Linked DNA regions of Lytechinus pictus. The protein of the gene in region 1 purifies or fractionates together with the protein of each later gene. This does not show direct contact. Links are inferred from orthologs where the notes say so. Each region holds a gene or a part of one and is shown on either strand. Other genes may lie near its edges.

Region 1 (3,934 bases):
AGAGATTAGGCTGAGGTCTAGCGCCAAAAATATACAATTACATGTATGGTGGTGTGACCTAAATTCGCGCATTACCTACACTGTGATTTTGCGCACAGGCGAATACCCCAATATCTAATTAATATTTTGAAAAACTTATATCACCAACAGAAAGAGCGACTTAAAATTACCCAGCAGAGCGCGACAAACCCGCTTGCCCGGGGCAAGTGAAAATGACTGGCGGACAAGCATTTCTCAAAGTCAATTGCCTGATCGGGCAAGTGAATGTTTTGAAAATAAAATAATAAAATGTCAGTGATAATCACAACTATCTCTCATATATTGTCAAACCAGTAAAAAAACAGTGGAAACTGATGTAAAATCAGCGCCAAATACAGATAATTTATCGCCAGGTACCTCGTTCGAAGAATCATGCCATCTCATCATACGTTCTATGTGCGCATGCGCTACTATCTTGCGCAATTTGCCGATGCAACCCCCCTCCACAAAAAAAAAAAAAAGAAAGGCGAAAGTGGCTAAAGTTTCACATTTTTAATCTTTAAATACATGAAATGGACGTCTATTTTTCATATTACCTTTAGATTGTTTTGATCTAGTTGGAAACAACCGAAGAAATGAAGAATATTAAGCTCTTTCTTGACTCTGATTTTGATGATGTTACGCTCGGTAAATGTTTTTTCTTACTGTTGTCCCACATGTAGACTTTCATGGTGTTGACCAAGTATAATGTTGCAACACCATGAAAGTCTACATGTGGGACCACAATATAAAAAAATATTGACCGAGTGTAACATCATAATACGATGATGAAAAGACAAGAGAGAGGTGAATATTCTTAATTTTCTTGATAGTTTCCATCTAAATCAACACAATTTCAAGGAAATATGGAAAATAAATGGCATGGATTTAAAGATGCAAAATGTGAAATTTTAGCCACTCCAGAGTCCAGTTGGTGAAGGCCTTTTTTTTTTTTTTTACATCATAAAACGATCTTTTCCAGAATCAATAAAGAGCTGAATATTCTTCATTTTCTTAATAGTTTCCAACTAAATCAAAACAATTTTTTTTAAAACATTTAACGCCCATTTAGATCTACTAGTGCTATAGCAAAAGTTTTTTTTTCTTCAAAATAAACGTAATGACTAAGGCCTACTTTGCTGAAAATATACTTATAATTATAAATGTGTGTTCTTTACTGTACATGATTCTCAATTGTTTTTATTTATATGATCTTCATAAATAATAGTACCGTCGTAAAAAAAACAATGAAAGATAATAATAAAACAAATTGGGCAAGCAGTTTTTTCTATCGGGCAAGCAAATATTTTCATCACTTGCCCTGTTGGGCAAGTGATGAAAATTTTTTTTGTAGAGGCCTGCCCAGTATGGTAATTTTCTTGAAGGTACGGTCTCTATTAATGAAAATATTGGCAAAACATCGGCAAATTTTTTTACCTTATGCCTCCGCTCCGAGAAAATCCGAACTTCTCGACAAGCATCAAGAATTCGCCAGTTTGCAAGCGGAAGTCTCCAAATAAGTAAAATGTGATACCAACCGAATTTATGGCATTTTAACTGCCATCTGATACAATTATATTACCTTTGTCTGCTTGATTTCTTTTCTAAAGCCTTGCAAAACGATTGTGCGCAAATTAAGGTCACACTTATTTATGACACTTTTTCAGCCGAGCGCGCACTAGTCGATAGCGATACCAGCAAAACCCTTGACCTACTTTATAATTATAATCCCGTCAAGCGAATTTGACTTTTAGGATCTTGCCTTCCGTTTGGTATTCATGATTTTGATTAATTTTGCATGAGCTGTGAGAAATTTTTGATTGAATATCAACTTCATGATAATTTTTAAAATGTGCGCAAATTATGGTCACTATAATATGTCTATAGTCAGATATTTCTAGCCATGCCCATGCTAGCCGACCGTGGCCATCGGCAAGGCTAGTCAAGTATTATTTATGGTGGACATTTGATAATTAACCAAAATGATTGTGTTTGATACATGAAATTTAATAAAAGTCACTAGATTTAGAGTCCAGATCACTTTCATATTACTCATTTGCTCTCACTAGTTACACTACCCTAAAATGCACATTACCTTGGACTCCACACGTAGCCTGTGTACCATGACTCTTCGGTAGCAAAGCGCCGAGCTTCTCAGACGTAAGTCTGTCTTCCTTCTCAGGTAATGTGAATTTGTGAAAAAATGTTGGAGCTGTGACGACTGCTTGTCTAAGCTGAGATCCTACATTCTGAGCTGTTGCGGACACAAATGGAGCAACTACCCCTACTTTGGAAACAGCCGAAAACATTTTTAATAATTGATTAACCCACCCGGCGTTTTCTTTTCTCGATGTTACAGTAACACCGGAAGTTGGCCTGTGACGTCACTGATATCATGATCTTGTTTGCTCAATGATTTTGCTCGAGTTTGCGGGGTTTGCAGTAAACGGTTATAAATTGTCACTAAAAATTTGTGATATCAATGAATTTGTCTTTTTCAATATCATTAACTTCAAGAAATTACCATATTCCGAGTAATAATTGTGCCTTTTACCCTTTACCTTTCCATTGAAAGATTAACATCGCGCCCTAAGCAAAACTCGGACCATAGTACAACCGATAGTTCTCAACCTAGACCCATTTCAACAATTTTCGTGAGGTCCAGTGCATGCACTATTATGTTCGTTGAAGCATACAAATGATTTTTTTGTTTAAAGTTTTTTAACTATTCAAAAACAATCACAACTTTACACAATATTTTGTTTACTAATTGTTCAAAAGTTTAAACAATTTGTCGGAGTCAAACCCGAGCGAGGGGGCCAGTGCTCTCGATCAGTCATTTTTAGAATCTCATTCTCCTCCACATTTGTTTCTCTATATTTCTATAAGCTTTATTTTCGAAGGTACCCGGAATTACTATGATTCCATTTTTAAACTTAAAAAAAAAACTTTTTAAGCGACTATAATGACGTTCCAAAATGGAAAATTCCGATACAAAACATTGATATAACGTTATCAGACAAGTTGAATCTGTCATACTGTCCCATACTGTATACATTATAATTATGATTTTTTTTTCAAAAATATACGAGCAGTTTCCTCTATATATTCCATAAATTTCAAATTATAATGGACAGTGCCGGTGAATTACATTTTTATTATATAGAAGGGGTATCGTATAGGCCTGTCCAACGCGAATATTGGGAAAGTCACTTGAATCATTCATTTTTGGGATCACTCATGCAGTATACGTCATTTCATTGGATTTGGTAGGCCTATCACACGACGTTATAATAATAACTGCATGCTCGTCTGTCTGTGCCGTCACAAAATAAAAGAGTCCGTTATGCTTGGACACGGTCACCATACCTCGGTCCATGCACTGGCGGATCGGAGGGGGGGGGGGCACTGAACTAGAAATACGTATTTCCAGTTTAGTGGGGGGGGGGGGGCACATTGAGAGGCACAATTAAAATTTGTAATGTAAAAATGCCGTTAAAACAGAAGTGTACCCCCCCCCCTTTGAAAGTGAAGACTTTTTTTTTTGCTTTTCAAATTTATTATGGTGCGAAATGTCCTTTATTTGTGGTTGAAGACCTTTTTTTTGCTTGTCAATTTTTTTTCTGGTGCGAAATGTCCTTTACTTGCGGCCTTAAAGGAGAATGAAACTCTTGGAGCAAGTTAGCTTTTGTGAAAGCAGAAAAATCAAAGAATAAGATCAACAAAAGTTTGAGTAAAATAGGACAAGCAATAGAAGAGTTATGAGCATTTGAATGTCAAGATCACTAATGCTATGGAGATCCTCCCATTGGCAATGCGACCAAGATCTATGATGTCATTGATGAACAACTCTCCCCTTTTGGATGCTAAAAATATACCCCAAAACATCTCTTTTTGCTCATTCTAATAATATGAC
Region 2 (3,934 bases), on another chromosome or scaffold:
TTGAATAACTACAACTTCTCCCAATTAACATGATTAATAACGCAAATCTTCTTCCTTGGGTCGACAAAAGTCTTCTTTTCTTACTTATGAAGGAAAATTCAAAGGTTAAAGAAGTTTTAATGAAAAAACAAAATAATTTAAGTAAATAAATACATTTGTAAATAAAATTTGACAGCATAATTCGAAAATCATGGCGAAGATAATGAAAAGGTTAAAAGGAAGCCTGCTGATTAGCAAAAAGTCTGATCATCAAATTTCTAATTTCTGCCATTTTGGCGCAAGCCTCTTTTTGAACCCCCGACCAAAACGTCCCGTGTTCGCTCAAGCATGAACAATTTTTTTTAAATGGCATTTCAAAGATAAGATTTCAGAGCATCTATTAACATCTAAATATAGATATCATAATTTGAAACAATTTTTTTATAGACTTTTCAAAACTGTCCCGTTTTTTTATACGCACTGTATGGGGGTGCACATTTTCGCCAAACAGTCTGGCAAACTGACACTAACATTGGTGTGAAAAAGCACAGTTACTTAAAGAGATCGATGCATACTGCGGACTGAAAATAGTATACAAATTCACAAAAAACAAAATGATGAAAATTTCATCAAAATCTGATAATAATAAATAGCAAAGTTTTGGCGTGTGTGCCAGGTCTATGTAATACATGAAATATCGAGACATTATTTATCCTATTAATCCTCACCCCCATCGAGCCTTTGTCGAACGCAGTATGGATCCGCCCCTGAATAAAAATTCACTAAAGGCGGACGAAAATCCCCCCCCCCCCCCATTGCGATCGACATTGCCAGAGCCGCTTGCGCGCGCTGCCGAGGTTGTCTGAATTACACATAATAGTCAATAGAACCAAATCCGCCGAGGAACCAAATCTGCAAACTTCAAGCCGCGTCAAACCCGGCGGATATGGTTCCGATTAAAAACGATATCGAATCCGCCGCTACACCGGCCGGTTGAGGTCACTGATCTCAGTGGTTGACTTGAGGTAGGCGAATTAACGCGAACGAAGTTGGAAACTGAACTCTGTCCCAAGATGCGATCACAGGTAAAATATTTTGAAAATTATTTATTCATTCAAACTATTGACTCTACCTTTTCAAACAATTTATATTTGTTAATTGATATGAGTTTGTACGGGGTCACGATCACCTCGGGCTTCGCGGGCTGGCTCAGTCATACTCATAGGACTCAGCTCCGGTCCCTCGCCATGCCCATGGGCATGGCCCATGCCACGATGGGCGGATGAAGACGCCAGGGCCAGCGCCACTGCCACTGCGAGTCCTGTGTCCGCGGCCGACCTAGGTCCTAGCCACTCACACGTATTGCGAGGTTAGTATTAGTATACTATACTGGGTCCTAGCCTTGACTAGCCAGGCGGCTTCTAGAGAGTAAAAATCATTTACTAACGTAAGGTCACTCTCATTACGTTAGTAAATGATTTTTACTCTCTAGAAGTGACCTTACGTTAGTAAATGATTTTTACTCTCTAGAAGCCGCCTGGCTAGCCTTGACTGAGAAGTTGAAGACTCCATGATGATATTTTTTAATATTTTGACATATACTTCTTCATCATCAGATCATGAAGCCTTGAACCGCCTGCCATATATGTATAAGAGACATTTGTAAACAAAGATGGATTTCCCTAAGACCCTAGGAAGTCCATCTTTTAAAGATAAAAATCACGTAGGCCTAAATGTTTTTTATTTTATTTATTTTTACATCTTCATACGCCTAATGCGATTAGCGATGTTACAAAATGCCGTTATGAAGAACAATTTATAGATAAAAATTATTATTTAACAAATACTAAAATTTTAAGACGTGATTATGAATAATTATTATTATCAATTATAATTCCTTGGTTAAGCAGACAACATTCAACACCAGCGCTCAACACGAACTGCCGGAAATACATCATATTTTCCTAGGTCAATCTCAACACCAGTATCATTTCAAGTACGGTGTTGACTGTTGTGGCTGGTGTTGGTGTTGTCATACACCAGATTTCAACACCGTACTTGCAGAGCTACCAAGTCTCACGCATTGTGAGCGAGACTCACGCATCCAGGGTCCGTCTCACGCATGGCACCCTTTTTTCTCATGCATCGGGACCCGACAGAATAAAAAAGGAGAAAAAGTAGCATTATTCGCTAAATTATACGCATTGGCCGACCGCCTTCGCACGCCGTCGCGTCTACCCCGGCACGCGAGACGAATCGAGAGTGCAGTCAGTGCACAGCTAGTCCGTGATACGATGAATCGCTTGCGTGCATCGCATGGTATTGTAGTATGGATCGATATCATGATGAAGCCCATATCTTGCGCGCGCGCGCAGAGACGCCGAGTCATGAAAATCTCACGCATAACATTTTTTTGAACTTGGCATCTCTGTACTTGAAATCACCCAATGAACAAGGACCGGTTCTGTAATATTCATAATACTCACTGTGTGGGGAAATGAGGTTGGCAATGTTTGGCTTATTTTCTCTTGTTCTTGGGGGAAAAAGGAAAACTTTCTTGCAATTTTACTTTCCACCAATAGACGGCATACACAAAAAGTTTTTTTATCTTTCATTTTAATCATAGGTCCTATCTCTGTATAAGTTGCTGCAGAGAACAAGTCAAAGCACTTTTCTTGGAGATTTTAAAGCTCTTGAAGGTAATTATTTCTTATTTTCAAAACAGGGTAGTGACACTATAGACCAGGGGCATCGATCCGTTTTTCAGATGGGGGGGGGGGGGGGAAATCATGAGTCACAAATCAACATTACAAAGGCGCTCGATCGCACAAAACAAACAAACTCACACATATTATACATATAAATATTGAACATTCTGAGCAGTGTTTGTGATCTTGAACAAGATGTGTATGTAACTAAATAATTACTGCGAGAGCAAAGTGCAAGCATTATTTTTTTTTACGTTCTGGGCCTGAAAAGGGACATTTTAAGGACAGTTTTCAGTTACCCATGAAAACAAAACATAATTCAATAATCAAATAATGCGAATGCTAATCGCGAGCAGAAAATTTTGTCATTCCGCGTAAAAACAGGAAATTCTAGGCACTTTTTGTAATCATGCACAAAATCGGTATATAAATAAATAATTTTTATTGATGCGAGCACGAAGTGTAAGCGAGAATACATTGACAGTTAGACCTGAAAATCGGACACTCTGTTAATGTTTTGGAAATCATGAAAAGGATGGGTAATTGGGTATCTTCTAAATACATTTCTTTTATTATGAAAGTCAATGTGAGTGTGAAGCGCGAGCTGCAAAAAAATATTTTCTATTGTGAAAAAGGGTCAATTTATGCACTATTGCAAGCACTGTGTAGGGAAATTGAGAAGTGGATATGGATCACAATGAATAAATGGTGCGAGCACAAGGCGCGAGCTGATATATTATTAGTGTTACATGTATTTTGATTTAGAACCGGGATATAAAGACATGTCATCATATATGAAAATGATGACCATCCTCCTATTCCTCTTCCTAAGCTCAAGATGAAACTTGTTGATATTCCAATCTGAAAAAGGAATAATTTGATTATTAGGAATTCGTGGATATATTATTGTCTTATTTATTAATCTTTAAGCCTAATGAGAGCACAAAATTTGTTGATATTAAGGTCGAAAACTGGACATTTTAAGCACTATTATAACGATGAATAGCATGCATGGGTTAATACATTTTTAACAATCGATGCGAGCGCAAATCTCGAGCTGAAATTTTTGATCAACTGTCATGGAAAGGTTTTTTTAAGTAGTTGTTAGAATTAATTTAGAGATAAAAGAAACTCACCTGGATCCGCCTATGAAAAAAAGGGTTTGCCATTTTCTTGTTTATTCATTGGCAGAAAAGAATTCTATGCCTATATGATGAGATTCCTGTGTAAATATAGGACCTATCTTT

Evidence for each region.
Region 2: the proteins of cytochrome b-c1 complex subunit Rieske, mitochondrial-like (region 1) and complex III assembly factor LYRM7-like purify together in Homo sapiens (co-immunoprecipitation; 5 studies listed by BioGRID and IntAct, with this or other methods). This does not show direct contact. The link is inferred for Lytechinus pictus from reciprocal best matches to the Homo sapiens genes UQCRFS1 and LYRM7.

What each region holds. Positions count from the first base shown.
Region 1 is NC_087246.1:57,301,426-57,305,359, forward strand, and holds the start of cytochrome b-c1 complex subunit Rieske, mitochondrial-like, read right to left. Parts: upstream 2,675-3,934; 5' UTR 2,328-2,674; coding exon 2,114-2,327; intron 1-2,113.
Region 2 is NC_087247.1:67,193,649-67,197,582, reverse strand, and holds the start of complex III assembly factor LYRM7-like, read left to right. Parts: upstream 1-833; 5' UTR 834-1,052; coding exon 1,053-1,064; intron 1,065-2,605; coding exon 2,606-2,678; intron 2,679-3,934.